3 linked regions of the Canis lupus familiaris genome follow. The protein of the gene in region 1 interacts with the protein of each later gene in a biochemical or structural test. Links are inferred from orthologs where the notes say so. Each region holds a gene or a part of one and is shown in the gene's direction. Other genes may lie near its edges.

What was found.
Region 2: the proteins of UBC (region 1) and RNF216 form a complex in vitro, tested with the Homo sapiens proteins (2 studies listed by BioGRID). The link is inferred for Canis lupus familiaris from reciprocal best matches to the Homo sapiens genes UBC and RNF216.
Region 3: the proteins of UBC (region 1) and RNF115 form a complex in vitro, tested with the Homo sapiens proteins (3 studies listed by BioGRID, with this or other methods). The link is inferred for Canis lupus familiaris from reciprocal best matches to the Homo sapiens genes UBC and RNF115.

Annotation. Positions count from the first base shown.
Region 1 is NC_049247.1:5,229,343-5,232,845, forward strand, and holds the start of UBC (polyubiquitin-C), read left to right. Parts: upstream 1-703; 5' UTR 704-862; intron 863-1,684; 5' UTR 1,685-1,687; coding exon 1,688-3,503.
Region 2 is NC_049227.1:12,342,826-12,346,647, forward strand, and holds the start of RNF216 (E3 ubiquitin-protein ligase RNF216), read left to right. Parts: upstream 1-1,148; 5' UTR 1,149-1,310; intron 1,311-3,822.
Region 3 is NC_049238.1:59,229,510-59,233,231, reverse strand, and holds part of RNF115 (E3 ubiquitin-protein ligase RNF115), read left to right. Parts: intron 1-544; coding exon 545-638; intron 639-3,546; coding exon 3,547-3,662; intron 3,663-3,722. UniProt on the Homo sapiens protein: E3 ubiquitin-protein ligase that catalyzes the 'Lys-48'- and/or 'Lys-63'-linked polyubiquitination of various substrates and thereby plays a role in a number of signaling pathways including autophagy, innate immunity, cell proliferation and cell death.

The DNA of each region.
Region 1 (3,503 bases):
GTCCACCAGATGCCTCCGTGTGTGTATCTAGTACAAGGCGGCGTAGGTGGTACAGGAAGGCCAAAGGACATTCTAGAAAGTTCGGTGGACTTCCAGACGCCTCTCGAATAGGTGCGGGCAAAGCGTGCGGGGTTTCTGCGCCCCCTTCTAGCCTTCGGCCGTCCCGCACCCCCTGCTCCCCCGCTGCCCCAGCCCAGCCCGGGCCCACCTCCCGCCCCGCGCCGCGATCTGTCGAGTCATCCGTCCTGTCCGCGCCCGCGCGGGGGGATGGGCGGGCCGCAGGCCCCGGCGCGAGGACCCCTGCGGTCGCGGAGGGGCGAGGGACCACGACGCCCAACCCCTCTCCGCCCAGGGCGGGTCTCGAGAGCCGCGGGGACCGCTGCGGCCGAGGGGAAGGGGTGTCTGGGTCCCGCGGCAGGGGCAGCTCGCCCCGGACGCCCGGCGATTCCGCGCCGGGTTTTCCCGTCTCCCGCGGGCCCTGTTCTCCGCGCTCGCCCCCTCCCCCCTCCCCCCTCGCATCCGGCGCCGGCCACGTCCGCGGACGCAGCACTCAACGGGCGCGCTGATCCCTCCGCGCGGGCGCTCGGGACCGCGGCCCTCTCCTCGCCAGATTCAGCCCTACAGCCCAGCCTTGACAGGTCGACGTTTCCGGGGGCTCCTAGAAGATTCTGGGGCAGTGGTTTTCTCCCTGGAGGCCAGGAAGACGGTGAAAAGTAGTCCCTTCTCGGCGTTTCTGCGCAGGGATCCGCCGGAGCGGCGCGGCCGATTGTTATATAAGGAGGCGCCGGGCGTGGCGCAGGCAGTTCCGTGGAGGCCGGGAGGTCGGTTGTTCGTCTCCGTGCGCTTCTGTCACAGCCGCTTGGTGAGGAGCGGGCCGCTGCGCGGGCCTGGGGGTCTTGGGGCCCTGCAGGGGCGGGGGGCCGGGCAGCCGGCTGCCCGGGGAGTTGCCCGCGGCGCCGGAGCGCGGTTACTCTTGGGGGGGGGGGCGCAGCAAAATGGCGTCCGCTACGGCTCCTGTGCGGGGAGAAGCCGAGGTGCGAGGGGCCGTGAGGAGCCCGGGAGACGGGATGGCTGTGAGCGGGCGAGACGCGCCGAGCCAGTGGGGCCCTGACGGGGCCCTCTGCGCAGTGAGTGGGGGCGGGAAGCCCCTGTGTGCTCCGCGGCCCCGCTGGCGCCACGCTCCGTGTCCGGTCGCGGCGAGTGGGCCCGAAGTGCCGGAGCAGTCCTGCGCCCGTTTGGGGGGAGGGGGCCCGCTCGTCGCGTCGGTCATGTGATGTCATCGCTTTGTCAGCTAACAATCCGGGGTGGGGCCGCGTGTTCCTGTGTGTGGAGCCGGCTTGGGTCAGTCGCGGGGCACAAGGGTTAGGCGGGGCGGGGGAGGGGAGATCCTGCGGATTGTCCGGTCCAGACATCACTGAGGGGGGAGGGGAAGATACGGAAGCCGGCGCCTTCACTTGACCGGTATCCATGCTTTCTCTCCTCCTGGGGCCTGGAACTTGGTTTTGGAGCTTATTTGAGTTTCCAAAACCTGTCCTGTTTCTTCGCCTTAGGTTTTTTGGCGAGGTTTATTTTAGTTCTTGGGTTAGTGTAAAATGACCAGTAACTGTTAGCGTTCTATTCACATGTGAGTGGTCTGTTACACTCCGGATTGTTTTTTTTGTTTTTTTGGGTTTTTTTGTGACAGACAATGCAGATCTTCGTGAAGACTTTGACGGGTAAGACCATCACCCTGGAGGTGGAGCCCAGTGACACCATCGAGAACGTCAAGGCGAAGATCCAGGACAAGGAGGGCATCCCCCCTGACCAGCAGAGGTTGATCTTTGCTGGCAAACAGCTGGAAGATGGGCGCACCCTGTCCGACTACAACATCCAGAAGGAGTCCACTCTGCACCTGGTCCTTCGCCTCAGGGGGGGCATGCAGATCTTCGTGAAGACCTTGACGGGTAAGACCATCACCCTGGAGGTGGAGCCCAGTGACACCATCGAGAACGTCAAGGCGAAGATCCAGGACAAGGAGGGCATCCCCCCTGACCAGCAGAGGTTGATCTTTGCCGGCAAACAGCTGGAAGATGGGCGCACCCTGTCCGACTACAACATCCAGAAGGAGTCCACTCTGCACCTGGTCCTTCGCCTCAGGGGGGGCATGCAGATCTTCGTGAAGACCTTGACGGGTAAGACCATCACCCTGGAGGTGGAGCCCAGTGACACCATCGAGAACGTCAAGGCGAAGATCCAGGACAAGGAGGGCATCCCCCCTGACCAGCAGAGGTTGATCTTTGCCGGCAAACAGCTGGAAGATGGGCGCACCCTGTCCGACTACAACATCCAGAAGGAGTCCACTCTGCACCTGGTCCTTCGCCTCAGGGGGGGCATGCAGATCTTCGTGAAGACTTTGACGGGTAAGACCATCACCCTGGAGGTGGAGCCCAGTGACACCATCGAGAACGTCAAGGCGAAGATCCAGGACAAGGAGGGCATCCCCCCTGACCAGCAGAGGTTGATCTTTGCCGGCAAACAGCTGGAAGATGGGCGCACCCTGTCCGACTACAACATCCAGAAGGAGTCCACTCTGCACCTGGTCCTTCGCCTCAGGGGGGGCATGCAGATCTTCGTGAAGACCTTGACGGGTAAGACCATCACCCTGGAGGTGGAGCCCAGTGACACCATCGAGAACGTCAAGGCGAAGATCCAGGACAAGGAGGGCATCCCCCCTGACCAGCAGAGGTTGATCTTTGCTGGCAAACAGCTGGAAGATGGGCGCACCCTGTCCGACTACAACATCCAGAAGGAGTCCACTCTGCACCTGGTCCTTCGCCTCAGGGGGGGCATGCAGATCTTCGTGAAGACCTTGACGGGTAAGACCATCACCCTGGAGGTGGAGCCCAGTGACACCATCGAGAACGTCAAGGCGAAGATCCAGGACAAGGAGGGCATCCCCCCTGACCAGCAGAGGTTGATCTTTGCCGGCAAACAGCTGGAAGATGGGCGCACCCTGTCCGACTACAACATCCAGAAGGAGTCCACTCTGCACCTGGTCCTTCGCCTCAGGGGGGGCATGCAGATCTTCGTGAAGACTTTGACGGGTAAGACCATCACCCTGGAGGTGGAGCCCAGTGACACCATCGAGAACGTCAAGGCGAAGATCCAGGACAAGGAGGGCATCCCCCCTGACCAGCAGAGGTTGATCTTTGCCGGCAAACAGCTGGAAGATGGGCGCACCCTGTCCGACTACAACATCCAGAAGGAGTCCACTCTGCACCTGGTCCTTCGCCTCAGGGGGGGCATGCAGATCTTCGTGAAGACCTTGACGGGTAAGACCATCACCCTGGAGGTGGAGCCCAGTGACACCATCGAGAACGTCAAGGCGAAGATCCAGGACAAGGAGGGCATCCCCCCTGACCAGCAGAGGTTGATCTTTGCTGGCAAACAGCTGGAAGATGGGCGCACCCTGTCCGACTACAACATCCAGAAGGAGTCCACTCTGCACCTGGTCCTTCGCCTCA
Region 2 (3,822 bases), on another chromosome or scaffold:
CGCAGCATCCTCTAGATTCCAAATGTTTAAGTGACCCTGAAGTCTGTCCTCAGCTGTCCTCTCCCCTCTATCTACACTCATTACCTAGGTGTGAGTGTAGCTAGTCTGATGGCTTCATACGTTATCTCTATCTCAGTGATTCCTAGTTTAAATCCCTAGCCTGAGTGATCCTGTCTTTCTGAAGCTGCAGACTCATATATCCAAATGCTGACTGACGTCTCTAATTTGAAGGTGTCGTTGGCAATTTCACACGTCCAAAACACATTTACTTCTCCCTACTCTGACCAAAATCTGTTCTTCCCAATCTCCCCCCATATTTATGACTGAAACCCCATTCATCCAGTTGCACGTTCCAAAAACCTTGCAGTTACCCTTTCCCTCTCACCTCACATCCAATCCATCTGCAAATCTCTCCGTTCTACTTGAAAAAAAAAAAAAATCCCTACTCTGATCATTCCCCCCTCCCCCTCCTTCCTGACCATACTAGTTAAGGTCACCATTGGGTATTATTTAGACTCCTATAATCTCTTCCTAACTAGCATTCCTCTGATTAAGACCTCCTTATGTCATTTCGTTTTCTGCTCAAACGTCCCTCTTTAGAAGACTTCATGACCGCATTGGCATCCCCATCACTCTCTACCCCTTCCTCTGCTCTATTTTTCTTGTGTTGTTCCCCCCCCAACCCTTCCTGCCTGAGCCAGTATTTTAGTGCGTTTGTTATATATCTATCCACTAAAAGATTAACTTGGGGAGAACAGGGGCCCTCTATATCGTTGTATGCCCAATTCCTACAACAGTGCCTGGCACACAGGAAGCTCTTTGAAAAATAGGTGTTGGATGAATGACCTGCCAAAGGCAAGGGGTGCAAATAAATGCATATCCAATAGCTTTCCATGGGCATCTGCTCCCCCCTACCCCACATTCCCCCGCCTCCACTCTTTTCATCCCTAGGGAGACAGGCGACACTTCCTGAGGTTGGGGGAAGGGCCCCTCAGTTTCCTTCGTCCTCCCACCTCGTGGGGGAGTCAAGACTCAGTGGGCGGTGAGCGGCCAGACGTCCCTCTCTATGGTCTTACTCTCCAGGCCCCTCCTCCCTAGCACCCGGCGTGCCTCTATGGTTCTTCCTGTCATTAGTCGGGAGGGGGCGCTGTGCGCAGGCGCGGGGTGAAGTCGCGGCGGGGCCGGAAGGAGTGCAGCGGCGGCCTCGGCGGCGGCGGCAACGAAGCTGTCGGCGGCCGCTTCTGGTGACTAAAAGCTGTGGCGACAGAAGCCGCCGAGCCCGCTTGGCGAGCCGGCGAGCTGAGTGGCGAGTAAGTGTCGGCCGCGGGGCGCGCCCAGCTCCTCGGCAGGCCGCGTGAGGCGAGTGGCGTCTCAGCCCAGCGCCTCCATTAAGCCCCAGGGTGGGGGCGGGGGCGGGGGCGGGGGCCTCGGCTGTGAGGGGCGGCGGGGCCGCGGAGTCGGGGGCGCGGGCCTGGCCCGGCGGCCTCCCGCAGGCGAGCGGGCCCGGAGCCGCGCGGGGCCCCGCCGAGGGCCGGGCGGCGCGAGCAGCGGGGCTGGCGGTGAGGCGGGAGCCACAAAGGCGGCGGCGGCGGCTGGCGGACGCTCCCCCGCGCCCGCCACTTCGGGAAGTTTCGCGGGCCGGTCCCTCGGCCTGCTGCGCGAGGGCGAACGCGCCGAAAGACCCGAGTTTCCCGGCGGCACCTCGCGGGAGGCGGCGTCGGTGGAGCCGAGCGCGGCCTGGAGCGCGCGGGCGGTGATGCACTGGGACTCTGAACTCCGGCGTCCCCCTTCACCCCCCCACCCCCCCGGGGCCCAGGGGCGTCGGGCCTCAGTCCCCAACCCTCCCGACTCGGTTCAGGAGCGCCGTCTTGTCGGGAAAGCCGGCGGCTCCCACCCAGCCCTCGTGAAGACATGCAAGTGCGTCAAAACCCTCTGCAGCGCGGGGAAGGCGAACCCGACAAATGTGCCTGGAGCGCCGCGCAGTGAACGAGACCGGCGTTCCCGCGTGGGACGTGGCTGGAGACTGCGTGGAACGACGGTCTCAAAACTTTGGGCCACTTCAGTCCTGTGCGAGACCCCCCCCCCCCCGTCTCGCCCACCGGCGCCCCCCCCCCCCCCCCCCCCCCCCCCCAGTGCCTGCGTTGTGATAAGTGCCCGGGTATGGCTTGTCCATCCAAGTCACTTTGCTAATGCAAAGAGAAGATTTTTTTTTACCCTGCAGGGAACTGGGAGAAGACAGGGAAGATTTTAGGACCGACCTCAATTTTAGCACGCTTGCCTGAAAAAAGACTGCCAAGAAACAGCCTTGCTTTGTTCTATTTGTTGTATAGGTAATTTATTGGGGCTCGGGGTACAGACTGGTGTGAAACTGAGGAAATCGCTGGAGAACTGGAGCCAGATTTGGGATCTCCCCCCTTAAACCTAAATAGAGGCTAGCGGGCAGCAAGTTTTTTTTTTTTTTTTTTTTTTTTTTTAAACCTGCCTTCCAGCCCGAATGGAGAAATCTAATAAAGGAAGTTGAAATTTGAGTCAAGAAGACTGAAAGTTTATGAAATAGGGTCGATGAGAGCACCTGAGTTTGCTGACCCTGATGGCTTCTATTTAATGAGTAGTTGCTATATTCTAGGCTGTGTTAAGGTCTTTTCAGACCTCATAACTAATTCTCATAGCTGGCAATATTTTACTTTTCTTGTCAGTAAGACAAACATGATGCTAGTAACTATGCTAGGTATTGTTCTAAGCATTTTTTAATGTAATAACTCCTCTAATCTTCAGTAATGGGGGTTCCGTTATTATTTTAAAAGGAAGAAAACGAGGTACTGAAAAATAAGTAGTCAAAAAACTCCCACAGAGCTGGGACTTGAATTCAGTTTGGTTCCATAGCTCATGCTCCTCCTACTAATTACTTTGCCATCCCTGTAGATGATATTTATTCGAAAAGTTCTTCTGGAGTATTTACTTTGTGCCAAGCAGTATGTCCTGCGGCTAATGGAATGAATAAGATGTCGGGTCCTCCATCCTTGGAACTTGTTTTAGCAGATAGCTATTTAATGTAGCTTTCTAAGTATTTGTAGATTATTATTGTGCCAAGTACTTTGAAAGATTGAGATATATTGTGTGAGTGAACAATGGGGATGGTTAGGTGTTTCTTTTTTTTTTTTCTTTTTTTTTTTTAAGATTTATTTATTTATGATAGACATAGAGAGAGAGGCAGGTTCCATGCTGGGAGCCCGACGCACGAGACTCGATCCTGGGACTCCAGGATCGCGCCCTGGGCCAAAGGCAGGCGCTAAACTGCTGAGCCACCCAGGGATCCTCCTGGTTAGGTATTTTTGAGGAAGTGATATTTAAGATAAGAAACTCAAAGATGAATGGAGTTAATTTGGTCAGAAAGAGGCAGTGAAAAATAATCAGCCAGCCAGAGGTAAGAGGAAGGAGCATGGCCCGTTCAAGGCCCTGAAAGAATGGTGAATGGAGGAGAGGTGTATGGTGAGGCTAGCTATGTCAGCAATGGTCCTACGAGGCAGCGTTTCACAGGCCACGAAATTTTGGTTCTATGACGAAATCTTATGATTTAAAAGAAACAGCACCTCAGTGCCAAATGAAAATAAGTGGGAGAGTAGAACCTATAGGCACTTTTGGGGTGGCAGGGGCAGCTTATCATGAATTCACAGAGGATTCACCTCTAAAAAGATTGAAAACCATGATCCCCCCCTTGTGAATAAGGATGTGCTTGCTTATTTCAGTTTCTGAACCAATTTTCGGTTGACATTTGAGGAAAATCATAAGGTTATATGTTAAACTCTTTAACCTACCTAGTGA
Region 3 (3,722 bases), on another chromosome or scaffold:
GTATTCCCATGCCATATATAATTGCTTCCACATATTTATGTTTATTTTAATTTAATTGGTTTTTCATTTCCCTTGTGGAATGCTGAGAATAGAAAGCATGTCATTTATATCCAAATCTTCTCGTAGGCAGTAATTTACCTATTTCTTGGCTTACTTTATGCTACTTTCCATACTTCCACCTTTTTTTTTCTTCTAGCAGAATGAAGTTTTTAGACCAATTAAGTATTACCTTTTGTTCGGTTGTAGTTTTATTCCTGACATCACAACCTTTTTGCTGCCTCTGAAGTTGCTTTATGCCTGGAGGTGGGCCTTGCAATGATAGGTTTGTCTGTAGACTTTTACGAATGTCACTCTGAAATTGTAAAGGAATTATGAGAGTTGTGGCAGCAGGAAAGGGGAAACCCAAGCCTCTCAGAGCTTTGCAGAAGTAAGAGCAACTAACATTTTCTAATATATGCATTGTTTGTTCTCAGCTGGAGCAGCTCCCTCCCCAGGGATAGTGGGATATCTGCCACTTCTTCTTTTTCTGTTTCCTTTTTTGTAGCTTTTAGGACAACTGGAAAACACAGGGCCTCCCCCAGCTGACAAGGAAAAGATCACATCTCTTCCAACAGTGACAGTAACTCAGGAACAAGTTGGTAAGTTCATTTCTATTCTTACTCTGTTAACTTCTGATCTCTATTCAAAAATTCCAGCACCTTCCTATACTGCAGATCTTCAAGTGAAGCTTTAGCACTCCTAAAATTCTACCTAGATGTCATATATGGAAGGTGTCTACCTTTTCATTAGGGTTAGTCATGTTGATGCAAAGTGGATAAACCTTTTTTTAAATTGCAAAGAGAAAGGAAGAGAGTTTTATTCAAGCCTAAGTTAAGACAGTTGCCAGGTTGCACAATCTTCATAAAGAAGAAAGAGCTCCAGGGAAAGACCATTTGGTGAAGGGTTATATATGTTTTGTTTGTTGGTTTTAAAATAGGCTGCATGCCCAACATAGGGCTTGAATTTATGATCCTGATATTAGGAGTTGCATGTTGTACTGACTTAGCCAGCCAGACACCCCTGTTTTTTAAATATAGCAAAGGACAGTTCAGAAAGTTACATACTTTATCTCTATATGACTTGAAGCTTACGGGAACAAGGGAATTTTTTTTCCTTATCCTTATGTTTGGGATGCTCCTTTTTGGTTATTATTATTATTATTATTATTATTATTTTTAACAAAGCAGATGTACAGTATATGCTCAGAGCAGAAATAGAGCTCATGCTTTGAGGTTTTGTGGTCATTTTGATCTTGGTAAATGTTAAAGTATATAGATTCCCTGGGGGTCTAGGGGCCTGCAGATGTTAAAAGCTGAGAATTTCTTTTATCAGCAAGTAAGTTATTTCCTCAACAGCCACCATGTCCTTTTTCTAGGTGCCATGCAGGAAACAAAGAGGTACAAGATAAGACTTGATTTCTTGAAGATCTTACCAGGGGAAGCAAAACTCAACTAGATGATTAGAGAAAACAGTATTTAAAAAAGTATTGAGCAGGTGATACAGAGAAAGAGAAAAAGTAGGAGGCTGGGAATTTGTCTCATATTTACTCTGTCAGATACAGTTAGGTACTTTAGATATAGATATTATCTTATTTTTAAGCATTGAAGGAATTTAATAACAAGGAACATTATTTTGAACTAAGAGTTTCTTCCCCCACAAATTCCAGTTTAAGTTAGAGAAGATTTTAAAGACAAGATAAGCCATCTTAGGTCATTCTATTCAAGGGTAAGTATGAACCAATGTGAGCTGACATGCTCACCCTTTGGAGCTGGTATCATGGTATACCAGCATGGACATGGTATCTGAATCAGGTATAAGGAGAGTGACTTTATTAGCCCTGAAATAGAATCTGGTTTAGGAGTAGTGGGAGGTATGACTGGTTAGGAAGGGTTGGGCCTTGTCTGAGTGGACCTTGAAATTGGCACAGTAGTTAGGGCTGGATATTTTAGATAGGAGGCAAGTTTCATAGCTCCCCAAGTGGAGGATTGAGGGAATTTAGTTGGTCTTTAGGGAACATTAGTTTGGAGGTAGTGCCTGAAATGGATTGGAAGGCAAAAAAAGCCGAAACAGAGATTTAAGGGGCTGCTACAGTATCCAGGTGGGGCGCAGGTGATGGTGGCAGTGCTAACAGGGAAGTGTAGGCTCAATGTCGCTTTGAAGAAAGGCTTTTGTCATTGATTGCATAATAGGATAAAGGAGGGAAAAGGGTCAAAGAGGACTCTAAGGTTTCACAGTTGGGAATTACAGCGCTTGTGCTGCCATCTATCAGGGGTTGGGGAATTGTGAGTGGGCCCTGGTTTGTGTACAGAAGTGATGTGTTATTTTAAATTTGAACTTTTGATTTTGAGGTACCAGCTGGGAATCCAAGTAAAGATGAGCTGAGGATTTCTGTAAAGCCAATATTAGGGAGAATTAGCTGGTTTCAAAGCTTAGGTAAATTTGGAGGGCTGAAGGCTAAGGTCAAGAATACTACCTAGAAGGCTATTCCAGTAGACCAGACATAAGAAATAAAAGCTAGAATTTAGGTAAAGGTGTCAGGGAAAAGTGGAGAGGAAGGAGTAAATCTATTAAGTATAGCCCTACTCCAAGTCCTTGACTGCTGTGGGTACATAGCATGTCCTGGCCACTGGAGACAGACACTAGCTGGTATTAGCCAGATTTGGGAAACCAGACTTTGCTGCCTCATACTCCCAATTTAATTTGTAGCCATTTCCTCACAGAGTGTTTCTTGTCTCTGGACTTGGAGCCTAAGCTATCCTTGAGCTTGCAGTTCTATAGCACCACCTCCTGGTACAGCTTTTTGTTTTTTTTTTAATGATAGTCACAGAGAGAGAGAGAGAGAGAGAGAGAGAGAGAGGGGCAGAGACACAGGCAGAGGGAGAAGCAGGCTCCATGCACCGGGAGCCCGACGTGGGATTCGATCCCAGGTCTCCAGGATCGCACCCTGGGCCAAAGGCAGGCGCTAAACCGCTGCACCACCCAGGGATCCCCCTGGTACAGCTTTTAATTAACTTGTACAGAGGGCTTTAGGATAACCACACTGAAAGAGGAGGTGAAATGGGGAAAATAGCAGGGTAAAAGTGGCTTGAGACGCTGATTGGGAACTGCTAAGATTGCCATGAAGTGTCCCTTGGTTGTGGTGGATGGATTGCCTGTATTTACTCTATGTAGAAACTGCCAAAAGGCTATCACATGTCTGAGAAGATGTTTTTCCTGTTTTACTTAATAGATATCTAAGCCCCAATTTATTTTTTTTTCCAAGTCTTGACATTGAAAAGTAGGCCTTACGTAGTTTCTGTGTAGGCCTTAATGAATTAAAGCCCATTCATGTCCCTGTCTGCTATCACCTCCTCCCCCATTTTGAAATAAAATTTGTGCTTTCTACCTCTTCCACCTAGGATGCGCTTTCTGTTTTTTCTTTACATGTTACTTAAGTTAAAGACACTGGACTGGTTTTTTCTTCCTTTTTTGCTCACTCACTTTAGAAGGCATTTCCTCCTCCAACAGATATGGGTTTAGAGTGTCCAGTGTGCAAAGAAGATTACACAGTTGAAGAGGAAGTCCGGCAGTTACCCTGCAACCACTTCTTCCACAGCAGTTGTATCGTACCATGGTTAGAACTGGTGAGTATAGACAGCTGTCATGTGTGATAGGCCATCTCTGCCAGTCACAGCTTCGGCAGT